4 linked regions of the Astyanax mexicanus genome follow. The protein of the gene in region 1 binds, or shares a complex with, the protein of each later gene. Links are inferred from orthologs where the notes say so. Each region holds a gene or a part of one and is shown on either strand. Other genes may lie near its edges. The genes, in order: snrnp200, snrpd1, eftud2 and snrpg.

Region 1 (7,027 bases):
CACTCGGCACATCATCGCGCCGTCCGTTCCGCGAGTCGGCGCCGCTGTCCTTGCGCCATCCGCTCCGTGAGCCAGTGCCGCCGTCCTCGTGCCATCCGCTCTGGGAGTCAGCGCCGCCGTGCTCGCGCCATCCGCTCTGGGAGCCAGCGCCGCCGTGCTCGCGTCGTCCTCTCCCCGGCCACGACCTCCGAACAGCCCGCTGGCGCCGTCAGGTCCGAGTCCACTCCGCTGGAGAGCCTTGCCTCTAGTCCGTTGGTCCGCTGTCTTCCTCCTCAGCCGTTCGATTTCCCCTGCCAGCAGCTCAATATCTTCCAGCAGGGTCACTTCTGACACCAAATGTGGCGTGGAAGAGGAAGGAAGACCCGTGAGACTCATGCTGAATGCTCAACAGCTCCTTTATTGAACCGGCTTGCCACTCACTTACAGTCTTTAACAAGACTAGGAGAGCTAAAACCATAAACACAGAGCTCAAATAGCCAGAAGGCCACCAACCCAGCTGTGTGTCTCCCAGATGGCAGATCCAGAGTGGTGCCCACCCTCTCTGCATAACCCCTCCCAAGGGAGATGCCCCACCCCTGTCATCCTCGCACACAGGAGAACAGAAACATGACTGCAGGCAGCCACACACACAACCCAGAGCTGCCACAATATCCTGCAATTCCCGTGTTGGTGGGAATTTTATATAGGTGCATGCAAGAGGAAGCCTCAGAAATAAAGAGGAAAAAAAATAATGGGATCAAATTGCAAACTTAATGTTGTCTTAATGCATGCAGTTCTTTAAAAGAAGTGGCGCTGAAATAAAAAAATGGAATGACTTCTCAAGCTTAGCTAAAAGAAGGAGGACTGAGCTTAGGAGAGAGAGGTCAAAAAACGGTGGAGGGCAACTGCTGACAGTGCTCCTCACCTTAGAGGAGGAAAGGGTCTAGGGTATACTGGGGCCAACTGTAACAGAAGCAATATCTGGAGGGGTTATCTGCCTAAATAAACTTACAGCCACCTCACCCCAGCCTGCCTCTTCCGTCCTGCCTTCCCCCTGCTCCAGTACTCCCTCCTCTGCAGTGCCCTCACACACAGAGCCATCAATTACAGGAACACGTACAGGGCTCGATCAGAGGGGAACAGAAGGTCCAGTACTTGTAGGTGCAGTCAGGAATTAATTGCACTGGAAAAAAGGAGGCTTCAAAGACCAGGTCCAACTGTGAAACATGAAGACCTTTAGTAGCAGCGCGAAAGACCTGCAGCAGCGTAAGACACACCACAAGGAGCTACTCAGCATAAAGAATACTATGCTTCAAATTTAAGCCAAACAGCTGGAACTGGCTGAGGCTCAGTTTGGCCACCCTTTATTTCCGTGCCAATTTTATTCCCCTCAGCACAAGGTGCTTGTTCAAACACACACACACAAAAACACAAGCTTGATGTTTCTGCATAAGATGACTGTATGTTTCTAACACTAACTTCTAATTATGATCCAGACCCAAGCACAACAGAGGAGCTCCCTGATGTGTGAGACACCTTGTCGTTTATTGTGTGTGTGTATTTTACTTTGATTGTATTGATTCAATTAGCTTTTTTTCTTGTTGGTATAAAAATGCAATAAACAAATAAAAAAAAATAGCCCAACTCAAAAATGTTTTCCAGTGTATTTTAATAAAAACATAATAAAACAAATCTTTTACAAACTTAACTAGGCACATACTTTAAAGATAAATTAACATTCAAGAAAACACATTTTTTATAATTGTATTTAGACCATTCAATCCCTCTGGGTAAAGCTCCTCTCTCCTTTCTCCGGGCAGTTTAATCACACCATCCTCCTCTGTGTCCTCCTCGTCAATGTCCTCTGTATTACATCTTTAGGATGCCCAGAGCATGCTCCAGAACGCTGCGTGTCCTTCACATGTGCCCTGTTAAACCTCTCCTAGGACTCGTTTATGATCAAATATTGTCATCCTCAAGCCTTGAGCATCCATGGGGATGTTTTTCACATACATTCATTTGGCCTACACTAATGCTCATATTGTGTATAGTGTGCAAACTGCCACAATGACTTTCTCCCGAAAGCCTGTTCCACCACACCTCTTCCATGGCTGATGCTGGCATTCCTCTGCAGCTCATCTTCCCTTAGTGCACCATTATCACGTGCAGGAATAATGACAAAAGGAAAGTCATTAGAGATATATGCAGTGTTTTCCAAAAAGGTTATGCCAAAAACTGTTAAAACACAACAGACCTTATTCTCTTTTCACATTGAGTGGGCCATTTAATGTATTTTTTTGCCAGTAAACAGGTCAGTTCCAAAAGCCCCAGGACAAATTTATGAGCCGTTCCTTGGGACACATTGAATTTATCAGCAATTTTCTGAATGAAATTTTGATTTTCCATATACCATAGAAATATTAGAGCCTTCTTAACTACAGGAGCTTGGGCTGGACCTTTTTTAACACAAGAGTTTGCAGTTCTTTAAGTTCTTTAAGATAAAACTGTTTTCTGGCTAACTGTGTATGGCTTTGGAAGGTGTGGGTGTCCATGCTCAGCAGTAGAATCCATTCTGTACCAGTTATGGGATAAAAACATCACTTACCTAATGTGTGTCTTATTCACTTTATTGTTTTAGAGTAGGACAAAATAAACCTTTTTATGATAATGGACCAATAGTATAAACAAAGGAATTTTCCTAATGGCATCCATTTCTACTCGATTCGTAATTATTACCTCCAACTTCGTAAATAATATAATATAATATAATATGATATAATATAATACAATATAATACAATATAATATATACTACATAAATAATACTTATTTGAACCCTTTCTCCCTCAAAATTGTTGGTGTCTGATGTTTAAAGTGCTGAACTACAAGCCAAATCTATTTAAAGAAGTTACTCGTTAAATGTCTCATTCCATCGTTTTTTTAATTAATTTTAAAATGTCTAGTTGTAGGTGTCTAGTTGTAGGTGTTTCTATTTATCCCTGCTTTAGATCACTGAATTAGAGGTCTCTGAAGAAAGACAGGTTTTGGCTCTTGCTCATGAATATTCATACATGCAAATATATAACCTCTGATTGGCTAGCAGCACTGCAGAAGAGAACGCCTACCTGCTCCCACCCCCCCAGTCAATTTTACAGCTCTAACACTCAAAGGACAAAATGTTTTAAGGGGTTTTAATGAATTAAGCAATAAAACATGAGAGGGAGTGCTATAACGTGTAATATTGGCACTGCTTTACTGCGTTCGTAGGCCGAGGACAAGAAAATCTGATCTGTTGTGTTATAAAAACTTAAATTAAAACATTTCCATTGCTGCTCTGTTTGTAGCTGCGCTGTTTGGCTTGTAAGTGCTGCATCATTGCTTTGGTTATGGTGCATTACTGGCTAATAATGTCACTCATAGAAAGCCTCTCTTAGCCAATCACATCAAAGGGTCGGAACTAATTGTGGTATAATTGTCTTTAATTAACGATCAATCTTCAAGTATGAGTTAATAAAGTTCTTAATGTTTTAAAAACTTTTGTAAAATGTAAAAATTTGTTCATTTATACGCTCAAACTTTGTTGTGCTTGTTTTGTAGTATTACTTTTATAGCAATGTTAGGCCAAACATGAATCTGATATAAGAAAAGTAACACATCTAGTTACACAGGTGGTTTATTGTGTCAATAACCAATCAAATTGATTATCTCTGCTGTTCTGTATTAAACAAGGGATTAAAATATAACACTACATACATCTAATGCTTATAACTTTACCGAGTCACATAGGGTTGGTTGACTTTTAATAAAAAGTTGGTGTTTTTTATACACTATATTGGTCCATGTACAGGACCAGCGCATTCAATCCAATCTGTGCAGTTTTTAAAGGAACTTTGGAACTTTGGCGGCACCTGTCGGTTCTTTAGTGGAACTGCGCCTGAAAATAATCCGCATGCGCATTCCCTACTAACCTCCAATCCACCAGGGGGGGTAAAGTTACCATTCCGGAACCACCCGGAAACGGAACTGTTTGCGTGACATGCTGCGCGCGTCGTGCGTGCGTTGTGAGTCTTTTGTGCGGGAGAGCAGAAGCAGCAGAACCCGCAACTTTTCTTCTATACCGTACTGCTATCACCCGGCCCCGCAGCTTCCCGCAGCACCCCGCAGCTCCCCGCAGGCCTGTAGCTGTAGCTGTGTGAGCGGTTAGCCCGGGCTCTGAGGATTAGCCGGGGCTTACACTAGAGCTGCAGGATGGCGGATGTTACAGCGCGTAGTCTGCAGTATGAGTATAAAGCGGTGAGGACAGAAAAATACTACAGCTCCCTTACTCTACTACTCTCATACTGTTCCACTGTAACTGTTTCTCTGTTATTATCATACTCTGTTACACTCTTAATCTCACTGTTCCAGTCACTCGGTTACTCTCATATACTTACTGTTGCAGTTAACGTTACACTCTTACTGTTTCTCTCTTACTCTTATTCTCAAACTCTCTTACTGTTACACTCATACACTTACTGTCTCTGTTACTCTCATACACTTACTGTTACTGTTGCACTCTTACGGCTTCTCTGTTACTCTGTTATTATCATACTCTATTACTGTTACGTTGTTACACTCTAACTTTTACTCTCTTAATCTTACTGTTCCTCTGTTACTCTTATACACTTTCTGTTACAGTTACACCCTTACTGTTTCTCTATTGCCCTGTTGCTCTGTTACACCTTTACTCTATTACACTCATTGTTTCTCTCTCACTCTGTTACTACTGTTACTCTTATTGGTTCTCTCTGTTCTTCTGTTACACTCCTCTGTTTCTCTGTTTCTGTTACACTCTTCCTTTGTTGCTTTTACACAGTTGTTACTTTTACACAGTTAGTATTACTTTTACACTGTTACGGTTACTTTTACATTGTTACGGTTCTTATTTCTCTCTTTTAACGTTACACTGTGACTCTGTTACACTCCTACTCTATTGCTCTGTCACTGTTACACTCACGCTGTTACACTGTTACTGTTTCTCCTTCTTATTTTCTTACTCTGTTTGTTGTTACACTCTGACTCGTTTGTTACACTTGTTTGGCACACATTAATACTGTTACACTTACTCTTTATCTAATGCACTCAGTTACATTCGTACTGTATTACTATGTAACTTTCTTACTGTTACTGTTTTACACTCTTACTCTCACTGTTTCTCTCTTACTCTGCTACACTATGGTTCTGTCTTACACTGTTACTCTAACGCTTACTGTTTCTCTGTTACTCTTTCACTGCTACACTTACTGTTACTCTCTCAATCTGTTACTGTCTCACTCACTTTTACTGTTACTGTGTTACTCTCATACTGTTATTGAGTCTGTATCTCTGTCTCTCTGTTTGTGGTTCAGAACTCGAACTTGGTTTTGCAAGCTGATCGCTCTCTCATTGACCGCACTCGCCGAGATGAACCTACAGGCGAGGTGTTGTCTTTGGTTGGGAAACTGGAAGGGACCAAAATGGGAGACAAGAGTCAACGAACGAAGCCACAAATGTTGGAAGAAAGGAGGGCAAAGTACGTATTCTCCAAATTTGCATTAACATTACGTTTCTTTTGGTATTAGCCTTCTCATTTTTCCCCTCTTTGTGTTGTAGGAGAAGAAAGCGAGATGAAGACAGACATGACATTAACAAAATGAAAGGATTTACCCTGCTGTCAGAAGGAATTGATGAGATGGTGGGTATCGTATACAAGCCAAAGACCAAGGAGACCAGAGAAACGTATGAAATCCTCCTCAGCTTCATTCAGGCTGCTCTTGGAGACCAGGCAAGTTCAGTATTTGTTGTTTATAGTTAAAACTTTTTGAAAGTGTTTAACAGCATCAAAAATATAAGCACTCTGGGGAAAAAAAAATATTCCAACATTATATTATTAGATTAGTATGATTGTAGAATCAGGTCTGTAGTACTGTATTTGGGTTGTGGCTGTGTTCTTTTTAACGTGTTTGCTTAGCTAAGCTTTATTTTGTATTATTCAATACCGCGCTCAACTTAAAAGTGTCATTAACAGACACTGCTCATGTTAGTTTTACTTTGTACTGTGAATCATGTGTAGTTTCGTGCATATTAAATTTACCTGAGTTCTGATTTATTTCGTTATTCCATCCATGTTCTCTGCAGTGTGGCAATCATAGGGCCCTGTTAAGTGCACAGTCACCATTGTGTGTACAATACAAGTACCTAGTTATTAAGATTGTCACACTGCTTTTAGGTTTGTCGCTAGGGATCCTTGTAATGTTCAATTCAGGGCTTGTATGTTTCCTTAAAATCACAAGCTTGATTGAAACCCCACATTTTTTTAAGTAGAGCATTAAACTGAGCTTTTTAACTAAAATTCAGTGTTCTAGTGAAATCTGTTCAGAGTGATGCTAATGGATAGTGCAGCAAGGATGAATCATAGGTCTGCATATCTACACTTTTTTCCAATTTATTATGCAATATTCTCAGGTTTTCCTAAACGGTCAATGCAAATAACAGTCAGTATAGTTTCAAGTCATGACCCGTATTAATCAAATTTTATTGAACAAACCCAATGATGAGCTCTGGTTAGGGGAGACTGAATAGTGGGTTTATGCACCATAGCAAGCCTCTGATGGATTCTACACCTTGAGATTTGCGGGACTCCAGAGGCACCAGCAGCTTCAAATACCTTTTTGCTGGTTTGTAATGGCATTTTAGCAGCTGCTCTCATAATCCGATTAATTTGTCTGGCTGGAGCCTTCTTCATTTTGTCTTTATCTGTACAAACCCGTCTGTGCTCTGAATCAGCCACAAATCTCTTCACAGTACAATGATCATGCTTCAGTTTTTTGTGAAATGTTGAATGGCGTTGCAGTATTTCACACTTTTCAGCAGCAGAGATCTTTTTTCTTTCCTATATTGCTTGAAACCTGTGGCCTGCTTAATAATGTGGAACAGTGCATTTTGAGGTATATTTTTATGGTTTAAAAAATACTGTTTTCATTGGGAGGTTTGTTTAATACATTTGGATTTATACCTAACAGTTCATGATT
Region 2 (6,826 bases), on another chromosome or scaffold:
TATTTAGTTATAAAGAAATAAACTCTGACCTGAGCCTCGTCCTCGCCTGTGATCAGGCTGACCTCAGGGGGTTTGGGTAGCATGTAGGCGGTGAGTTGGGTCACCATGTGCACTTGGCGGGGATCCTGCCACGGCGACATTCCTGCCTGGTGCACGAACACCATGGCGTACAGAGTTCCATTCTTACGTGTCTTCTTGGGCAAAGACACATTTACTAACCTTTAGTGGAAAAAAGATAGAAAGAAGAGAATGCCTTAAATTAATCTAACATTTAATATTATTAATAAAATTCACAACTTCATATCCATTCCAAATTTTTTCCAGCATGTATTTAGCAAATACATAGTCAAATCATTTAATTATCTGAAATTGGTCTACAGCAATAAGGCAATAAAAAGAAAATACAAACCACTAAAATAGCCAAGAGTGCCAATGCTACAGAGTAAATTGTCACTGTCCAATAAAAACAAGCATCTCCAAAACAGCATTTTATCAGGAGAGAGATATAACCTTCTTGACTTTCAATTAAAGTCAATGTAAAAAAAAAAATGTAAAAAAAATAAAATTTCAGGTCAATTTCAGGTCATTCCAGAGAACTTCTATTGGTCCATTCATTAAGAATTTTTTACATACTGTAAAAGCGTCAGTTTGCGTGTTTTTAAATTACAGTATGTAATAAATCGAAAAAAATATTTTTTTAGGTACATGTTTTTGACAGCGATGATATACTATAAATAAATCTGCAGTGTAGGTTTGGCAGGGTAGTACACAAAACTGTATTTATTAAATATTTATTAAGGATATTTGTGTATAATCAGCTTATATCACACTTTAATATATGCTACATTCTTCATACTAAAAAACTATTTAGTAGTAGGAACTGGAATAAAGGTAGGACATACCCACAGCCTTTTTGAAATACCATTATTTTTCACACTATGAGGCCACTCTGCTGAAGTACAGCTGAAGTTTCTCCAGAAGTTTCACCAGCACCAAGGCTGGAGCAGTATTAGCATTAGCCGCTAACCTCAAAAGCTCCTTCAATCTATAAATATGAAATATGATCCTCAGAAGTGAGTTGTTTAAGTCTTTAAACTGGAACATCTTGCTCTATATTAGGGATTAGGGGTGTTAAAACCTGTCCACATTGGCTTTGTGTGGCCAATGTATACAACAGAGTAAGTATATCCAATGTATTTGGTGAATCCCCACTACTAACTAAATGACTACAGAACTTTACCTCTCAAATCTGGTGTTCACATCAAAATCCTCCTCTCTGTGGATCAGACTGTGGCCACCTTCAGTGTTGGGTCGTAATGCTGTGTAGATGCTTAGCTGTGGTGAAGATAACAATGAAAAATATATTTTTTTAAAATGACAAGACAGACTTTATACACAGTTGGTTTGAAGAGATAGCCTCAGCAACATCTCAGGGCCTATGGAATTAATGTTTAAGCAATAATACAATAATAGGAGTGGGAGTGCTATAACTTGTAATTACAGCAGTGCTAATATAACATGTTATAGCACTAACCTCAAGCGTATTGTTGAGATTATACTACAGTTTCATTACCACTGTTTATTAAAATATTTCGAGTTAAAGAGGAAGAGAAAATACGATATGTTTGGTTATAAACACTCTGCAAGTAAAAATAGTTCCATTGCTGCTCTGTTTGTAGCTGCGCAGTTTAGCTTGTAAGCGCTGCATCGTTGCTAGGTTAGCTGTATGTGGTGGAGTAATTCATGGAGAGCTTCGGTTAGTTACAGTGCATTACCGGCTGATAACGGCACTCATAGAACACCTACCTCTCAGCCAATCACATTGCAGGGTTGGAACTAACTTCTACCTCTGTAGCACCTTCACAGTTTTGAACTGTGATACAGGCGTGGATGATGTTTCCGTGTACTTTGGTAGGTGGACACTTACAATATGCAGATCAGTCAATCAATAATAGCGCCCCCCTGCTGACACCAATCATCTGCATCTTACCGCTATCAGAGGCACAATGCCGATGCTGCAGCTCAGCCAATCAGCTCCCGCTCCTGCTCTCCCACCCCTAAACCCATACATCACCCAGTGCCCCTCCCAAACTAACTAACCCCTCCCATTTTTTTGTTTAGCATTTGTTCAAATTCGAGCTGAGGGTGGGGTTTAGTGCCACTTTCAAGAACCACTGATCTGAAACCCTAAAAAACTGAATTAGTGAACACAGTTATCTAAAAATTAACACACACACACACACACACACACACACACACACACACACACTGCTCACCTGCAGACGAGGCTTTCCCGCCAGGTAAGGGCTGATGCACTTGTCACTCTTGGGGTTGTCGCAGGGTTTGGTGTAAACTATGCCATACATCACCCAGCAGGTGTGCAGCACGTAGACGATGAAGACCCCCACTATGAGGGTGGTGAAGGAGGTCTTCTGGAACATGCTGCTTTAGCAGTTCCTCAACTAAAAGCTACACACACACACACACACACACTCACACCGCTAACATGCTAACCCGCTCTCAGCACAGCCCGCTCTCATATCTCAGCTCCTCTCCTCCTCCAGGTGAGGCAGGTGAGGCAGGTGAGGCTGTAGATCCTCAGTAATCCAGGTTTCTGAGCTCAGACTCAGTTTTAGGTCAGATTATAGTGTTTCATCATAAGCGAGCTCTGACTCTTCCTTCCGCCACTGAGCTCCTGGGTTGTGGGTTGCCAGATTGGTTGCTTTCAAGCTTAATTAAAAAAAGCGAGTATGGGCAGATTGCAGGTTGCAACAAGGTAAGCAAACCATTCAATTGACTAGTGCTAGAGTTATATTTTTCATATAAAAGCTTTATAGATCCAAAGGACCCAAAAGACCTAGGATAGAATTTCGCCAAACATTGAACGGGACAACAAAATACTTTATTATCACAATCAACATTGTTGTTTAGAAACAATGGAACAGTAACAAAACAAAGTTTGCCTTAACATTTAAAAATTAAAAATATATATATTTTTGAGGTAGAAAAGGAGAAACCACAATACAAAAATAAAATATAATTTTCACCTCAATAGACATCTTTTCTAGTTAATTCTTTCTTTGTTTCTTTTTTTCAAATAGAATAAAACAATACAAAAATAAGGAATTTTCTTCGCTACTGTACTTTTTTCGTCGCTAGACAGTCAGTGCATGCAGAAAAGAAAAAAAAGATTGGGTATCGATCTTTTTACATGAGCATTGCTCAATACCAATACCAGCGTTGGTATCGATAGTATCAATATTTGGATCAATCCGCCCACCTCTAACTAGGGCCCCAAGCTGGCCTGGGGCCCGCAGAAATGACAGGCTAAGAAAATGTGTGAGCTGTTAACGAAAATACGATCTTAAAATGTTTTAAATAGTTCAATTGCTGCTCTGTTTGTAGCTGTGCTGTTTAGTTTGTAAGCGCTGCATCTTTGGTTGCCTACCTGTATGTAAAAGTAATACATTGAGAGCTTCGGTTACAGTGCATTACTGGCTGATAACAGCACTCATAGAACGCCTCTCAGCCAATCACATTGCAGGGTCGGAACTAACTGTGGTATAATTTACACAAATTCTGCATGTGAAACTGTATCACTTCATCAGCCTTAAGCAATTATACCTCATATTACAATTGTACTATTGTCTTGTGTCTTACGTATGTCTATACTATTAAATTTACAATTAAAAATGCGTATTTAGTTATTAACAGTACATAGTTTAATGCATGTGTTAAAACGTACTAAAAAAAATAAATGGGGTTCAACGAGGGGATTTATGTGTAGATCTGGCAACTGTAACCTGTGACGTAGACCATGAATGGAGTTCTTCCGTGCTGCGCCGGATGTAGTCATCTGTGTTTCAGTAGCGTTTCGATAACGTTCGTTTATTAGCGCTACAATTTTTTCTCTCTCCGGCGGAGGATTTCTTTACCGAATCCACCGCTAACATGAAACTCGTCAGGTAGGCGGATTGTAGACGGTTTATTTTACGGTGTTCAGTTGTTAGATGTTGTAAATTATCCCCTGTTTGATGGATGGGGCTGGATTGTTTGTGGAAGCTAACAGGCTAAATGAGCTGCAGCGGGGCTGAGAGGCGGGAACCGGGAGTTAGTCAATGAATGAATGGGTGGATAAAAAGAGAGTTTATCTCATAAACGGAGCTATAAATGCCGTTTTAAACTAAACTCGCTCTTTGCTGGGGTGTAATTTGTCTAAATTAAGCTAGATAAAGTGAACTAAACTGTTTATACTGTGCCCCAAACTGCTAGCTAGCTAGTTTGCTAACCTAGCTTAGCTAACCTACTCAAACAGGCTGACTTTGGCTGTTTGTTAAATGTAAGTAATATAAATTTTAATACAGGGTTTAGTATCTTAAAATTATTGTATTTGGCTTCTAATCTACGTTACGTGGTTGTTTATAACCTGTGTATCCAGTTTAAGGAGAAGCTGTAGCTGCCCTTTATGTGAATTATCCGTTCCACCTTAAATTGTGCAGTAGTTACATGCTAGTCTTGCAGTTGTTAAGGTGGAATTGATAATTCACATAAAGGGCAACTACACTTACACTGCTGCAGGGCTTACACATCTACTGCACAAAATTTTAAGGTAGAACCGACAATTCCAACATGAAGGCAAGTTTAGCTTTGTAGTGAAGGTGTAGCTGCTTCTTATGTTGTAATTGTCTGTTCCACCTTAAGTCGTGCATGCAGGTCAGGAGCTGTTCGTGTGTTTGGCTATTTGTTAAATGTTAATGTTAAATACAGTTATTAGTAACTTAAAATGAGTGTATTTGGCTTTTAATCTGCGATACGTGGTTGTTTATAGCCTGTGTATTGTTGTGAAGTAGTTACGTGCAAGTCCTGCAGCAGTTAAGGTGGAACGGACGATTCACATAAAGGGCATGTAACGTAGACCTTAACTGCTGCAGGGCTTCTATGTGACTATTGCACAATTTAAGGTGGTACTGATAATTCTAACATAAAGGCAACTGTGTGTGTGTTACAGAGCCACTATATGATTTATGTCTCATTTTAAGTGTGTTATGTTCTTTTCTGCAGGTTTTTGATGAAACTGAGCCATGAAACTGTTACCATTGAGTTGAAGAATGGCACCCAAGTCCATGGCACAATCACAGGTGAGGATGTGGTGTTTTTATATTTTGATGCATTAGTCTTTTAGTAGGCTGAAGTAGAGCTTCACAATACATTTCTTAATTTTGGTTGATGCAATATAATGCTTATCAATACGAATAAAAAGAATAAAACCTTAAAACTGTGCCTTTAAATTTCGTTTCAGTGTATTATTTACACTTTTATTTGTGCCACAATGATGCAGATGATAAAAATGCTTTGTTCTGTGTACTTATGTCAGGAGTGTGCCGTCTTCTCTGCATATAAGCTGGCTTCTACACATCCAGCAGCACACCTGATTCCACTTGTTGAATCAGCTGGTCAGTCTTCAGGCAGTTGATGGCTTAAATTAAAACCTTCAGCCACACTGATCCTTTTTGTGTGAAGACCTTTTAATAAAGAGTCAGATTTTTAAATACCAAAATGTGCAATATTATTATTTTTTAATCAGAGCCTGATTGATCATATGTGCTGTATGGGTATGTTAAAGGCATACTGGCCGATCGAAGCACAGTTGTCATGGTTGCAGATCAAACAAATGCACAAAGATGGCAGCTCAGTTTGTTCAGAGCTGGGCACAGAAGCTTATGACTGACAACACTTTGATTTATTATAAGAATACGTTGATGGAAATATATAGTGGGCAATGAGCACTATATATATATATATATATATTTAATATTGTGTAGGTGTGTTCTCTTTTAAGAATGAGAAGGAAAACAATTAAAGTATGAAAAAAGTATAGAGTAGAACGTGGAAAGGAGCTGTGGAATTTCTGCATCAGTTCAGAGCACAGAAGGCAAAAATTCTGTTAGATTTGGTGTAAAGTTTCTACTATGTTAAATCTCTTTTTTTTTTTTTTATCTGATAATCATACTTTTTCATACTTTATGTAAAAGATTGAATCCTGTTCAGGGACCAAAAAAATGTGTTTGCAAACATTTAATCATGTTTTTTTTTTTTCTATTTTGTGCTCTGGGTTTTATACATTGTATACATTAAATCAAAACTGTGTGTATAATTCAGGTCAAAAATCCACCCTTTTTAGTAAGCTTTTAGTAGTTTTTTTTTTTTTTTGTGAAGCCCTATTTAACCCTTTGTATTGTGGCTATTTAGTGGGGCATCATCATGGCTCTTGTAAAGTCTAAATCAGTTAGCAAAACACAGAACAATGAGCTATATACTGTTTAATGTCCGTATGTAATGGTAAATTTTAAGGCTTTAAAACAGGACCCTATTGAACTGGAGAAGTATCTGTCTGCCTGATAGACAAACTGACTTGTCATTTTCCCTCTTTTTATTCAGGAGTGGATGTCAGTATGAACACCCACCTAAAAGCTGTGAAGATGACCCTGAAAAACAGAGAGCCCACCCAGCTGGAGTCGCTGAGCATCCGCGGAAACAACATCCGCTACTTCATCCTTCCAGATAGTCTTCCTCTTGATACGCTGCTGGTGGACATAGAGCCCAAAGTCAAGTCAAAGAAGAGGGAAGCTGGTAAGTGCAGCACTGTGTGTAAGGGGGAGTTTAGTTATGTACAGTGTAAGAGTGTACTGCTTCTGAAATGGTCAAGAAATATCTTTGTATGAAGATGTTTCCTCTCCCTGCTGAATCATTACCTTATTTAATATTTTTTAAAATATTTTTATAAATAACCATTTTCAATACAAATATTATTTCTGTTACTTTAGAC
Region 3 (7,358 bases), on another chromosome or scaffold:
ACACAGGAAATAAACATGAGATGCATGAGGACATGAGATGATATTCCACCCAGTGGAATCATAGATTTATTGGAAGTCCATGTAAATATATGGGCGTTATGAGAATCTCTCTCTCTCTCTCTCTCTCTCTCTCTCTCTCTCTCTCTCTCTGTCTGTCTGTCTGTCTGTCTGTCTACTTGTCAGTCAGTCTGTCTGTCTCTCTCTCTCTCTCTCAAAGTCAAAGTTTCTTAGGTCACCTAGGTCATATAAATGGAGTAAACTACTTGTATTTATAAATTTGCAATATAACTTAATTCATTTTAGATTAAAAATAACACATTTTTTAATTTGTAATAGTGTACTAATGTAGCAAATTCTCATTGTAGGCTGCAAAATTTAGATTTTTTAAATCTGAAGTGGTAAAGCATTTACAAAAGATAGAGGGAGTGCAAGAGAACATAAAAATAATATTACATTATTTTATTTTACAATAATATAAAAAAGAGAACAAATTTGAGCACAACTAACGTAAGACTTACAGTAGAATAACATTACAAATAAAATAAGGGGAAAATAAGGTAAACAAAAAATGTATAAATGTATATAAAACAAAACAGATAAAAACACAGATTTTAAAACATGAGAACAAGAATATATAACAAAAAATCAAAAATAAATATATCGATTAAATAATAAACAAAATGACAACTACTAAATAAAAGTAATAAATACAACAAAAAATAAAATAAAAATAGCTGATTAATAATACAATTTAAAGATCTTCAAAATGATGAGTGAAATCTTTGCTTCATCTTTAATAATTAGTCAGGATGCAAACAACACATTTTTGAACACTAAACATTTTTAGTGTAGCCTACTTTGATGAGATGATCATTTACATAATATTACAAAGGCCATCATTATATAAATGATTGAAAATGTACACATTTGTTGTGCAGTTCTAATGTAAATTAATACACTTCTTCTAATTAGAGTAAAAAGCATATGTGCTCAGTCTCCATTTCTCTACTGATTACTATAATGATAATCCTAAATCATATTGCATAACACTGCTTTTCTCATTCAGTTAGGATCATTCTGTCTTGTCTCCAGGCATAAGAGATAAGCATAGCATCATTGGTAGATACAGCTAACACCCCTTTATTACATACATTATTTATAATAAAAGCATCTGTATGGGTCTTTGGAGTGAAGCCATATGCAGAAAAAACTATTTTCCACAGATTTCAACAGATTTTCAAGTCAGAATCCAGTCAGACTGTTAAATGTCAGGGACATCAGTCATATCAGTCGAGTGATGTTTATTTTATGATGTGAAGCCCTTAGCTTTTAGCAATCTGCTAAGCTATTTATAGTGTTCAGACTGTGTTCACTGACTGAACTTTGAGACAATTAGCTTAAATAACATACTGTGTTTATTACTAAACAATATACCATCAGACATTGCTCATGCTGCCTTGCCATAAGTACACTGGACAGTGTTAAGCCTCAATCACCAGATAAATCCTCACAGTTTATACAGGTGTGGGCATTCTGAAGCCATTCCCTGAGGTAACACTTTCGGCCCTATTTTAGCGATGTATTGGCAAGCCGTCAATTGCACACTGTGCAGCTTAATTTAGGGCTTGTCAATGTGTCTTTGCTATCGTAACGTCGGGAAAAGTATGCCTTCTGCAGCTCAAAATGTGGAAAAGGCATGTGTTAATTGTTTTAATTAATCATGGATCTGTTTTGGGAAAGAAACCAAATAGCATGACCCGAACTCTTGCATGGCAAGCATTTTTTATGTCTCTTTTATTCGGGTTAATTGGCACCAGATTAGTGCAAAAACAGAGAATTATCTTTGCATGATGGAGTTTCTGGAAAAAATAAAAAATAAAAGATGTCCACATATGAGGACTTTAGTTTTATATTTGGATAGAACACAATGTTGCACTTAGTAATGATGTGCAAAACATTTATTTTGTGCCCAGAAGTGCAAAACCAAAGTAGAATCAATTGTGCCTCTTTGAGCAGTATGGCTCATTTAAAGTGCTGCTTCAACACAAAGACATAAAGTAAAAATCATAACATTTACTGTATTTACTGTTCATTTTCAATTTCTGAACAATATCACAACTGTAACGTGTTAAACTCTTCTGCCACCACTAGGAGGAGTATAATGGTCTCAAAAGAGGAAAGCAGGCCCTTGTAGAGTAAAATTTAGTGTTGTGGTCTAGACAACCCAATATGTGATGTCCACACATGCAAATGTCAGGTCCTAGGAGGTAAAATATGTTAAAATGATGGAATTCTTTGCCTATAAGGCAATGTCTTAAACCCGTCTTTCTGTTTGTACGTCCATGTCTCTGTCTGTCTGTCTTTCACTGCCACTGTCTGTCCCTGTCAGTGTTTCTCTATCAGTCTGTTGCCTGACTGACAGTTTTCCGGTCTTATCTTCAGGCTTTTCTCAGTTTTGATCTGGTGTTAATTAAATATGTTAATTCAGACGTCCATTGAAAGCCTTTATATACATGAACAAGCATCTGAAATAGTCTGAAGCCTGTTTTTTGATGTCTCTCCTTCAACCTCCCACCAACCTCACTTCCAACAGCAACACACACACACACACACACACACACTCTTTAAAGATCAAATTCATTTTTTTCTCTCTGAAGACGGGTGACTTTAAAGTTTATTGATTTTGGGGTAAAATAAAAAATGAAATCTGCCTGCATTGCTCTTCAAAAGATTCTCCATGTCGTCATTCCAAAAACCTCAGGTCAGGTCATGCCTGTGTGCTGCATGTAGGCCTGTATTTCTGCGGCTATTTTTAGATGTATTCAATTTACTAGGTATGTGTTAGGCTGAACTCTCCATTCATTTTAAATGAATGGCCTCAAAGAAATGCCTACAATGTTTTATAGGTCTGTTTTGCTGACCCATATTATAAATAGAGAATATACAATAATAGAATCAGTTATTACAGAACAGTGTGTTACAGGGGTGATACAGATTCACTGTAGACACTGCATAAAAAAACATTATTTTTTCCCACTTGAAAAATCACTTGTTGTTGAAAAAGCACTTTACAGCATGTGCTTAAAATACACGAGTATCCAGTAGGTGACAATTGGGTAAATAAGAGTGAGTTAAGTGTGTTAAAGTGTCTGAAGTGGAGCCAGTGTCAAAATGTAGCCGACCATTTACAGTAAACGCTTTCATGTTCATATTTATGTGCCTGCCCATGTGGAGGGCATTGGTGTTAGCCATTATTTTATCAAATAAAAGTGTTTTAAACACTTGCCAAAGAGTATCCAAATGGTGGAATTTCATTTAATCAATGTGAAATACAGGTACAGATTTAGAGTTGATATTCCACAGACTTGTTTACTAGGCAGAATATTATTTCAGTAATTAGCACTCCAGGGTTAGCATGCTGCTAACTGCACTTTGTAACTCTTGCGAGAACTGTAAAATGCTGTAACCTGAGACATTTTAGCTTAAAAACGTGTAATATTACTCCAACGCCTCAGTCCACATGCTATTTTCACTTTAGAGGCTAGTTCTGTTTCTTTCACCTTGTCAACAAATGCATATTTAAAGCACAAAAAACTGCATTAACAGCATCGAGAAAAACCTGAAATACACTCCTTACCTGTAGGCGGAGCCAAGATCCACACAAAAAAATAAGATAAAACATAAGATAAAATTATTCATTAAAATAAGTATTAGTAAAAGAAAAAAAAGCTAAAAGCTGTAAATAAAAACCAGGGTTATTCCACCAAATATTGATTTCTGGACTCTTAAAACTTGACTGAATATGAACTTGCTTTCTTTGCATTATTTGTGGTCTGAAAGCTCTGTCTCTTATTTGTTATTTCAGCTATTTCTCATTTTCTGCAAATAAATGCTCTAATGCTCTTTATTTGGAATTTGGGAGAAATGTTGTCCGTAGTTTATAGAATAAAACAACAGTGTTCACTTTACTCAAACATATACCTATAAATAGCACAATCAGAGAAACTGATTCAGAAACTGAAGTGGTCTCTTAATATTTTCCAGAGCTGTATATCGGGGCTGGTGTAATGGTGTGTAAGGGCGCCTTCTTCAGGCCTCTTAAGTTACTGCAATGTAATATTTTAGCTTTGCATTCTGTTTTTTGCCTCTTTTTGCCTGATTCTGTGTAAGCGGCTAGAAACGCTTAAACACTTAAACCCTTTACCTTGGTGTAAACCGCACAGTATGACCGTATAATCGTGTTGTTTCTTTATATCCACGGCTGTGTTTAATGTTTAGAAAACCGCTGCACGAATAAACATGTGCTGTATTTGAATTCAGGCACATTACGGGATACCTGTATTCGCCGCGACGTCAGTAACGTTCGCCTTACGTTTCGGTTGTGCGAGGACCCGGCGGTGTGCAGCCTGGTAACAGTGCGAGGGAAAAATAAATAAATCAGTGAACAAATAAAGCGGATTGTACTGTTTCCGGAGTGAAACAGAGGCTTCGGTTAATCGCAGGTAAAGTCTATGCTGTCCGTTTGAGATCTGAGTGTGAATTTGAGCGTAATCAAGTGGAGAAGCTTTAGATGATCTGATATTAAACCCGAACCCATTCATTCACATGGGCTGAGCCTGAGCACGAGCTGCGTTACCTGGATTTAACGGTGTAGATAGACCGGTCAAATTCGAGCAGAGCCTCGTACATACAGTTTTTTTTATAAGCCGGTTAAATTGAGGGAGGTTTGGGTATTTTTTTAAACTAGCTAGGCTAGCTGAGCGTTGTTTGCTTGCTATAGCTAAGTTAGCTTAGCTTAGCTGAAGGCTGTGTTCCCATTGGCGCCCTTGTGTTGTGTTTACTAGTAAATTAGGCTGCTAAATAGCCCAGAAGTTTAACACTGGTTCGTGTGTTTTATACAAAGACAGGGTGGTGACGATGCAAGTCGCAGAAATTATGGGATGCACGAAATCCCTAATGCTGTCCATACACTACACGACTTTGAAAAGACTCTGAAAAGACTTTTAACAGACTGAAGTCTGACACCCTCTCGCACATACATACATGCATACATGATGTGTTTTGCTACAACCTTGTATTGTAAAGAATCATAGTTTCACTGCTATACATTTGCCTTTGTTTTAGATTAAAATTAGATTGAAATTGTGAAATTGCTTGAAAATCATTAGGTGTAAGGTGGTAGGATTAGTTCTAATTCTGATATTATCTTGTAGCTTGATGATCCTTGCCTTCTTTTTTTCCCTTCTCAGTTCAAAGGTTGTTTTCACTTAGAATGCTGCTTTTTGTAACTCATTTAATTAAATGCATTCATTTCTATGATTTGATGTGTATTAGCCTTGTTAGGCTAACTATATTTGAAATAAGCTTCTGGATCCAAGCTGAAAGGATTTTATACTTGATTTCAAGTATAAAAGTAGAACAATAAAACCAAAGTGTTTATTGTAGCTGGTAATCTGCACACTAAGAGTATTCATTTAATCTCTCTCTTTCAATATTGCTGCCAGAGGTGCTGTTGACACCCCATCGCACAAGGCCGCAACATCATGGAGACGGATCTGTATGATGAGTTTGGTAACTACATCGGGCCAGAGCTGGACTCTGATGAAGATGAAGATGTAGATGCAGAAGACCGGGATGCAGATGAGGTAAACAGCTCAAATAAACTTTGTGCGTAATAATCTATTTACAGGGCTGTTTATCTGTGTATTTGTTGCTTTTAATATTTTAGCACACATCGAGTTTGATTTGAGTTTGAGTTGCTTTCTGTTCCAACTTGGTATTTCCTTTATTTTGGCAATGTGTGTATAATTTAATGTGTGGTTTCTGCAGGCAGATGAAGATGACGATGATGATGACCAGGTGGAGGGGGATGAAGATGGTGGTGGTGGTGGTGGTGGTGGTGGGATGGAGGTGGTGCTTCACGAGGATAAAAAGTACTACCCTACTGCAGAAGAAGTGTACGGGCCGGAGGTAGAGACTATAGTCCAGGAAGAGGACACCCAGCCTCTCACTGGTAAAGGACTTTTTTTTTTTTTTTTTTTTTTTTTTTTTTTTCTATATGAGGTTCATTTTTTTACTTTCTTTTAAAATGTTCTGACATCAGCAAATAAAAAAAAATGTGATTGTAATGTGATGTGTTGTGTAGAATTTGTATTTAAAACAGTAAAACCTTAGTTATAAAAATTGTAGTCACTGATGCTGCATCTAAAACTGTTCTCCCTCTTACTTTCCCTCTCTGTCTGTCTGTTTCTTTCTCCTTCTCACATAGAGCCTATTATTAAACCTGTGAAAACAAAGCAGTTCACTCTTATGGAGCAGGAGTTGCCAGCTACAGTTTATGACATGGAGTAAGTCTTTGTTGCAGTCACACTTATTTAGTATTGGGGCATCTGCTCATTCATTGTGTCTTCTAAAATCAAGGGTATGAATCAAGTATTAGTCAAGTACAGGATATTTTCCAGAGAATAGTTAAAGGTTATATATATATATAATATGTGAATTACATATGTAATATTTATATCTCACATTTTTAGTCTATTTTAATATACCTTTTCACTGAATATATGATACATTGTTACAATGTAAAGTAGTTTGTAGTGCTGGAAAATGAAAACTGATATGGACTTTTTACATACCACCATACCGCTAGAGGCATTATGGAGCTGTGTAGAATAGCACCGCCAAAGAAACAGATACAGCTTGTTAGCTAAAGATAGCCAGTTAGCTTCACAATCTAACGCACTGGTGCGATGGTAGGTCTGCCCTGTGAAGTCAAACTTTATCTAAGGAGCTCCTGTTGCTGTTCGTTGCAATATGAGTGTTTCTATCTAAGTAAAATAGAAAAACAACATCAAAAAGCAATTATTCACTCAGAAGAAAGACAAATGGAGTTACACAATCAATTCACATCTTGTGAAAAAGTTCCTCTCATTGCCCAGAAAAGCCTAAAAACAGTCCTGAATGCAGAATCATTTATTCAGCACAAGTGTTAAAACTCCCTAAAATTCTGAATACGAGGTGCAAAAAAAGAAAAGAAAAAAACAGTGATATACCTTCAAACTCGCAGAGCTCCTCCATGGCATCACTTCAGAGCTGGGGGATGTTGGAGACCTTGCGCTCCTTCACCTTCCACCTTCTTGGCCAGTCGAGCATTTTTACCCTCAGTTTCTTTGATACCTTGTATCAAAGTGTCATATCATTCCCATGAAAAGATATAATTAGGTATTTACAAAAATAAGGGGGGTGTTCTCACTTGTTGCAATTTAGGTCAATAAGAGTCTGGTCAGGGTTGAGTGAAAGCTGAATGAAACATAGTACAGAGATTAATGAAAACCTGATCCAAAGTGCTCTGGACCTCT
Region 4 (7,706 bases), on another chromosome or scaffold:
TCAGCCACAAGCAGGAGCTGCTGTACCACCAGCAGGGTGCAGGGTGTCAGCCAGCCCCTTCTACTGTGACTCACATGTCTACAGATGACACACCCACTCCCTCCTATGCTTCAATTCCACCATCGACTTCAGGGATCAATCACAAGCCAGTAACTTGTCCTTCATGCCATAAAACATTCCGCACTGCCCAGGGTCTAAGTTGCCATCAGCGCATTTATCACCAAAACAGTGTAAAAAAGAACAAAAAGAAGGTGACGCAGCATGTCCAAGGTTCTAAAGGCACGTTATTTGCATGTCGATCATGTGACAAGGTTTTCCCTCAGACCTCTATGCTGTACCGGCACAGGAAAGAGGAGCACCGGCGAAAGACTTCCACAAAGAGACAGCAGAGGAGCCACAGGAAGCGACGGCAAAGCAGGCAAAGAGGCGAGACGTACCCGTGCCTGCACTGTGGCAAAGTGTTCCTGCACCATCTCACCCGCTGGGCACACTTCAAGAGCTACAGCAGCCACTATCAGACCCACCTTTCAAACAGCGCCAAATCAGACAAAACTCAAAAAGCCAGCGAAACCTCCAAAGACCTCAAAACAACCAAAGGATCTAAACTAACCTCCAGAGCCTCAAAGAAGTCTAAACCTGTTGATAAGAAGACAAACAAACATGTGAAAAAGTGCTTTGTTTCAAAAAACAGAAGGCAGGAGATCGCAGACAAGGAAGATGCTCGTACTCAGGATAAGGATGAAGATGAGGATGAAGACGAAGATGAAGACGGAGAGTTCCCTTGCCCATCGTGTGAAGAGGTCTTTACGACCAAGTCTGCCCTGCTACACCATGAAGACATCCACCAGTCCACACACACCCCAAACCACTGCAGCGTGTGTACTGGTGGGATTGCTTTACCTCAGATTGCAGGGTCTTCTGTGAATAGAGTCTATCACTGTGTGCCATGTAAGGAGGCATATGTGGACCTGGATACTTTTCTGCAGCACTGCCAAACACACTTTTATTGCAGCAATGATGATGAGAAAGATGATGATGCCCAACTTAGTGATTGAAAAGGCACAAAGTAACATCTAGTCAGAATTAAGGCCCTTTCACACAGAGTACATATTTTTGGATACACATGGAGCTCACATATGCAAATGTGCAAACAGGGCTCATACTCCACAGCTCTTTCTAGCTCTTTCAGATAAATGTCTACTCTTTCTGTTTCACTCACAAGTTCTCATTAGCAAGGGAAGCTGTTGTTCTTTAATGAGGGAAGCTATAGCTCATTAACTAGGGAAGCTGTAGTTTATTACCAAGCATTAGCATCACATATTTCCATTATCTTCTGCCTTTTCATAATTAGCACATTGATCAGAGTATAAAATCAACAGACCTTATATCTGATAGGTCTGCCTGATTTTAACACATCTGACAATGCAGAAATTCCACAACTGTCATATATGTAAACCTTTCTTCTGTTTCTCTGCTCTCTGTCCACTTCTGCTCTCTTCTTCTCCACATAAGTAATCATTATTAAGGGAACATCTAACTCATTAGTGTGGGAAGCTATAGTATAGTAGTGAGGCTAGCTATGCTTCGTTAGTCCAAACATATTGGACTCAGTGTGAAAGGGCTTTTACACCCAGAATACTTGAGTTGTCTTGTTTTTTCCTTTGACATTAAGTTTCGAACAGTTTGTGTTATGTTAAGAGATTGCCAAACAACATTTCTAAATGATGAATGATGAATGTATGCTTTTTTGCTGTGATTTACCAAAGCCACTCATGTTCACTGAATACACAGGCTGAATGTAAAAACTGTACACTGTCGAATAACATGAACGATTTCTTTCTGCTGTTGATAGTTGTTGAATTTGATTAACATAGTTCTGTTGGTGTGGTACTACTAAATTTGAGGATTTTATTGTAGGAGCAATGACTGTATAAAAGCATGGACAGGGCAACATTTGTGAAATATGAAGTCATCATAGGTCTAACACCTCCAGAGATATGGTGCAGCGTAGATCCATCCATCCCTGTACGTTTCAATGACAGAAACAGCCGCGCCAAGGTCTTCCATTAAATTTTCCTCCTCTAAAGACTTTTAGTAGCTGTAGTATCTTCGCTTTGTCTCAGTAGTCAACAGAATGAAACTGAGCTAAGCTCTGGTGCTGTAATGGAAATTGTTTGGTAATAAAATACAAAAGCTTCCCGTTTACCACTGGAATACTACACTTACTGTTTAAACTGGGGTTCTACAAAACCCTTTTTGCTTTTTGTTCTTTAGTCTGTGCTGTGATCTCAATGAAGGCAGTCTGAGATACTTGAGTAGGCGAGTTTGGTCCCACCCCTTGACTCTGGTTGCAAGTTTGACACAATGGAGGATGCTCTTGTCATTATTTATGTAGAATGGAAGGGAATAGCACCACAGTGTCTGTTTTTCTACAGTCATTGTGTAGGACTGCATTTTTTTTTTATCCTTTTCGATTGACAACTTTTTCGTGGTTGATTATATGCTTTTTTATAGCTTTTGTTAGCGATGATCTGTATTTCTGTTTAATAGTTATATCCTGTACATATATAGAACACACGCAAACCTGAAATGTCTTTCACATTGCCGATTTTACCTCTGTGCCTTACCATGCACATCTTAAGTAGTGCCTTGTTTCAGCATGTTCAAGTGCTGTTACAGTGTAGGGCGTTTTCACGCCAAGGTTGGTGTGTTTCTTACATTGTATTCTGTCCATTTAGTTATGTTAGTTGTCTTTCCCGGAGTTGTGCTAAATGCTGCCCCCACTATAAATTGACTTTCTTTCGAGTGCAGGCATGCCATATAGGAGAATGGTTGTAAGAGATTCCCCTCATATTCCATTTATTTCTGTTTATAAAAAAGGGTTAATCTACAGTTATGATACAGGCATCACCAGCATAATCTGTTGTACCCATACTGCGGCATGACATGTCTGGACAAGAAGTCAGATTTTGGCACAACACTTCTTCAATACTTCTTCTTCTGTTGTTTATTGGGTGACGATAGTTTGACTCAACTACCTGTAATTGGTCTGAATGAACTGGACCATGGGTCAGTTGAGCCAGACTAAGTCCACTGCTATTATTTGGGCCAAGTTTAGGTCCTGTGTTCTGGACAGTGGTTTACAGCATCTTTGCAGCAACCTTATGCAGTTAAATTATTGTGGAAAGCATTATATTCCTAAACTCTTCATTTATCATGTTTTCATATCATCGTGAACCCTGAAATTATGGGCAAAAAGAAACTGAATACCTCTTTATATTTACTGCTGTGTCTCATGATGTGATTTTTTTTTTTGGGGTGGATTTGTCCACAGGGATTACGTTACATAAGTATTGTTTGGTTTTGGCTTTTTTTTTTCATTCATTTTTGTTATGGCTGGAGCCAAAAATGTAACATTAATGTACCAAATGTTTGGTTTTCTGTGTATTCTTTTTCCTCATGATAATATAAAACTACAAAAATATATTTCTGAGTAGACCAATAAGTTTCTCTCTCTTTTTTCAGCTTGATTATCCTGGCTGTATTTAACATTACATCTTTAATATAATTTTGTACTTTAGTGTACATAAATACTTTTGTACATTTAGTGTATTTAAAATAGGAATGGAAATTCGGAGTTTACGTCACAATGACCAGGTTTGGGTGGTGATAGACCAAAATACTCTAATCCATTTTTTTTTACATCATTTAACATTACTTTTAAAATTCTGCACAAAAACACTGATTCTTTTTACATAAGGGTGGGACTTTATTCATAAACAGGCGCCATGGTTAGCGTTACAATAAATCCTATTCATATAGTGGTCAGTGGCCTGTCTCCTCATTAATAAGGTCTCTGGTTTTATCGCATAAACCAACTGGAAAAAGGAAGCTCTTTAAGTGTGAGTGGCTATATCTGTTACATTTTGTGCTGATTTTTATTTTATTTTGTTTTACTACAGCTTAAATGATTGACATTTAATATTATTTTTTAAATTTAGTGTTAATACATGCATTATTATTAGCATTGCTATTTCTCATTATCAATATTATTAGATTTTGTGCAAGACCTTTTATAATATTGCAGTAACTTGAAAACAGCATTTTCTATGGTCGGTTTCAGCAAAGGTGCTGTAATTTTTTATTTATTTTTTTGTCACAGTATCTGGTAAGTACAGCTATTTAACAAGTGTGACAGTACATTTGTATTTTGAAAGGTTTGCAAGGAAGACTTTTTGAAGGCTTCAGTAAATTATAAAAGTAGCTGTAGACAGGGGTGTTCCTGTTCTTGAGATGTTTCCAGGGCCTCCCACCCTCATGGCTACAGCATGATTAGATACTTTTTCCCATTGGCAACATGATAACGTCAGATTTCATTGACTTTGTTTAGTCCTTCCAGTATAGATTGTTTGTGTGTTCAGTGTCTGACCATTTTTTTTCAGTAACAAGTAATCTTAAATCATTACAATTTCCAGTCCACTGTTTTATTTTTTTTCTTTCCTTTTTTAAAAAGATATTATAGCATCTGGCTGGATGTGGTGAAAGGATAAATGAGAAAGACGTTTACAGTCAATGCTTTATTGCTGAAACAGTCAGCTGCAACCACACCAAAATAACAACAGGCTAGCGAGCTAACTAGCTAACAGGCTAAAAATAGCACTCGGGCTGAACACACACACACCCTGCGCCCTCTCCACCTCACACACACAGCGAGCCTTCTTTTCTATCCACCCCACACACACACACAGCGAGCCGCCCCCCCCCCCCCCCTTATGCTCTCCCCAATCACACGCTTGTCTTATACCTTAAACACAACAGTTTATTTTTAACAGTCAGTAAATTTTACTACCTATGCAACAGTCTGACCTAAAAGCTTCACACGTCTTAAATTAAAGCTCCACGCACTTAAAATTAAAGCTTTGCGTGGCTACAATTAAACCAGCCTTAGTTTTAGCTGCACAGAGGTTAATTTTTAGCTGTGTAAAGCTATTCATTTCCTGGTTTTACCCCAAAAGTATTTTAATACAGTTTCTAAAGTCCTGGGTTTTCTGCTTCTGTGGGTGAGGCAGTGTGTGGTAATAGCGGCGCCGCTGCAGCAGGGGGCGGTACAGGCCGCAGCCGAAGTCCGGGAGAAGCGTCACCTCCGCTGTGAGGCGCGTGTTTCAGTGTTTTAGCGCAGTTCCGACGCTCATCTCTCCGCCGTTGCTGCTTCTGCTGCTTCTGAACATCCCGCGCTGATTAAACATGAGTAAAGCTCATCCTCCAGAGCTGAAGAAGTGAGTACTAACAGGCGGAATTAGCGCTAGCTGGGATATATCATATATATTTATTTTCAGCATTGGGTTTCTGTAGCTGTGTATTGTAATTAGCGGTCATTTAGCCTGAAGCTAATAGATAAGCTAACCAACCCCGGTAGCAGAGGCTGAGTGTAAACCCCAGTAAAACCATTTGAACTAAAAGATCGGACAATAGAAACACCGCAGCTCTTTACATCCTACTCTAATTAATCTCATACAGTTTAATTAAAGCTTAGATTCGGACCCAATAAACCTAATTAGCTTCAACATACAGCAGAGAACATTGAATTAACGTTTGAATGGATGGAGCTGTTCTACACTCCCAGACACACTACAACCTGTATGAATAGAACACAAACAAATATACAGTACCAGTCAAAAGTTTACAAACATCTCTTCTCATTCAATGGGATTTTTCTTGTTTTTATAATTTTTACATTTTACATTTACTATTGAAGACATTAAAGCTATACAGGAACACACGCAGAATGATTCTGTAAACAAAAAATGTGTTAAATAAAACAGAATATGTGTGCTACTTTAGATTCTTCTAAGTATCACATTTATCTTTGAGGACAGATCTGCATACTCTTTGTATTTTAATCTCAGTGTTTTCATAAGGGAGGAGAATCACCTGGAATAGTTTTTTCAGCGCCTTGAAGCACTTCCTAGAGGTGCTAAACAATAGTTGCTGCTTTTACTGTTTACTATGTGATCCTATATGTGTCCCTTGATTGTTTTCATGGCTTTAGTATTAATCTACAATGTAGAAGATAATCAAAATAAAGATAAACATTGGGAATGATTGTGTCCAAACATTTGACTGGTATTGTACCCATGTATTTAATGTTAATAAATTTCAATACAAACATTAAGTATAACACTATCATTGAATCAACGTAAAACTGAAAAATCAGTTCTGATATCGGTCAGTATTGTTTGAGGGCATCAGAGGTTAAAAATGTTGATTCAGCATAAATGCGCTGTCTGTTATTAAACTCTTTGTTTTCCTTTTTGTAGGTTTATGGACAAGAAGCTGTCATGTGAGTGTCATTTAAGTCACGTTTTTCATTGTTAGGCTGAATCTGAAATTATATATATATATATATATATATATATATATACTTAAATAGATAAAATCCCATTTCTTCTCCACTACACCAAATGTGGAAAAAAATAAATAAATAAAAGTTTTTACACTTTTACGTTTTCAGTTTTTGAATTTAGCCTCAAGCCAGCAGTGTGGGTACAACAGATTACATAAAATAAAGGAATCTGAATGTAATCCTGGAAAAGCAACTTGTAGAACTGACCACAGTCTACAAAACTATCTGTGTAAAGTATAGGGGATAACAGCCCATGTTTGTGATTGTTGTGAATGTTCTTATTATCAAAGACAAAGTTCTTTAGTGTGTTCAGTCACTAAACTGCGTTGTGAAACTAATCAAGACTAACTGGACTAAATGTGCACAGTGTAACAGACAAACCTTGGTGAGGACTCTGAAATGATTGGAACAGTCCATATATTTAAGTTCTTTCACATTTGTCTGCAACTGGTCAGAAAATTAAACTGAAAAACCTTACCCTGACCCACAACAATTGCATTTACCATCCTCAGTAACAAGATTTATTCGTAGGTCAGTCTGGATGCACATATTTTAAACTGTAAAGAGTAACACTATCGTTGCTTATACCACATTCTTTCTATGCATGACCTGAAATCTCCACTTAACCTGCCCCTGTGCCCAAGTTACCATTGTGATGTTTCTAGGTAGAAAATAATCTAATGTTAGGAGACATAATATAGGTTGCATCCAACTAACTTTGATGTGTTTTGTTATTAAGCATATTACATTAATTATTACATTGCTTGTCTAAAGCAGATTTTTATATTGGAAGGATAGTGTTGCCCATACTGCACTGATGTTTTGTATCTTCTGTACACATGATCTATTTACACTATTTTTTAGAATGTTGTATTACTTTTATACATTTTTATAAATATTTCCCTCTTTTCTCTCTTTTCTTGTTTAGTAAAGCTTAATGGTGGTCGGCATGTCCAAGGTATCCTCAGAGGATTTGACCCCTTTATGAATCTGGTGGTGGATGACTGCTTAGAAATGTCCCCAGGGGGACAACAGAACACCATTGGCATGGTGGTAAGTAATCTCTGTCTCGAACACTCTATCTGCTTCTGTTTGCACAACTTGTAAAATCAGGATATCTGTAAATACTTAGTCTTAAAAGGCCTTAAATTTGTTTATCCAAAAAAACAAATCCTTAAATAATTTTCCCAAACGGGTTAAGACGCACTAAATACAATGTTTGTTTTATTTCTCCATTTCACAATTTCCAGATGTGATATTGCAAGTTCACATTTTATTTAAAGCTGTCTAATATGCACTTAGT

What was found.
Region 2: snrnp200 (region 1) and snrpd1 share a complex: the UniProt entries of both Homo sapiens proteins name them as parts of the U4/U6-U5 tri-snRNP complex. The link is inferred for Astyanax mexicanus from reciprocal best matches to the Homo sapiens genes SNRNP200 and SNRPD1.
Region 3: snrnp200 (region 1) and eftud2 share a complex: the UniProt entries of both Homo sapiens proteins name them as parts of the minor spliceosome. The link is inferred for Astyanax mexicanus from reciprocal best matches to the Homo sapiens genes SNRNP200 and EFTUD2.
Region 4: snrnp200 (region 1) and snrpg share a complex: the UniProt entries of both Homo sapiens proteins name them as parts of the U4/U6-U5 tri-snRNP complex. The link is inferred for Astyanax mexicanus from reciprocal best matches to the Homo sapiens genes SNRNP200 and SNRPG.

The regions. Positions count from the first base shown.
Region 1 is NC_064419.1:15,948,749-15,955,775, forward strand, and holds the start of snrnp200 (U5 small nuclear ribonucleoprotein 200 kDa helicase), read left to right. Parts: upstream 1-4,002; 5' UTR 4,003-4,226; coding exon 4,227-4,271; intron 4,272-5,365; coding exon 5,366-5,529; intron 5,530-5,609; coding exon 5,610-5,781; intron 5,782-7,027. UniProt on the Homo sapiens protein: Catalyzes the ATP-dependent unwinding of U4/U6 RNA duplices, an essential step in the assembly of a catalytically active spliceosome. Plays a role in pre-mRNA splicing as a core component of precatalytic, catalytic and postcatalytic spliceosomal complexes.
Region 2 is NC_064410.1:2,559,697-2,566,522, forward strand, and holds the start of snrpd1 (small nuclear ribonucleoprotein Sm D1), read left to right. Parts: upstream 1-3,805; 5' UTR 3,806-3,951; coding exon 3,952-3,965; intron 3,966-5,061; coding exon 5,062-5,138; intron 5,139-6,438; coding exon 6,439-6,630; intron 6,631-6,826. Other genes in the region: clptm1l (cleft lip and palate transmembrane protein 1-like protein), read right to left, coding at 30-219, 1,241-1,335, 2,277-2,441. UniProt on the Homo sapiens protein: Plays a role in pre-mRNA splicing as a core component of the spliceosomal U1, U2, U4 and U5 small nuclear ribonucleoproteins (snRNPs), the building blocks of the spliceosome.
Region 3 is NC_064426.1:27,201,509-27,208,866, forward strand, and holds the start of eftud2 (116 kDa U5 small nuclear ribonucleoprotein component), read left to right. Parts: upstream 1-4,357; 5' UTR 4,358-4,502; intron 4,503-5,504; 5' UTR 5,505-5,543; coding exon 5,544-5,645; intron 5,646-5,829; coding exon 5,830-6,013; intron 6,014-6,268; coding exon 6,269-6,347; intron 6,348-7,358. UniProt on the Homo sapiens protein: Required for pre-mRNA splicing as component of the spliceosome, including pre-catalytic, catalytic and post-catalytic spliceosomal complexes. Component of the U5 snRNP and the U4/U6-U5 tri-snRNP complex, a building block of the spliceosome.
Region 4 is NC_064420.1:6,264,626-6,272,331, forward strand, and holds the start of snrpg (small nuclear ribonucleoprotein G), read left to right. Parts: upstream 1-4,689; 5' UTR 4,690-5,244; coding exon 5,245-5,276; intron 5,277-6,317; coding exon 6,318-6,340; intron 6,341-7,331; coding exon 7,332-7,456; intron 7,457-7,706. Other genes in the region: si:ch211-148l7.4 (oocyte zinc finger protein XlCOF6), read left to right, coding at 1-1,055. UniProt on the Homo sapiens protein: Plays a role in pre-mRNA splicing as a core component of the spliceosomal U1, U2, U4 and U5 small nuclear ribonucleoproteins (snRNPs), the building blocks of the spliceosome.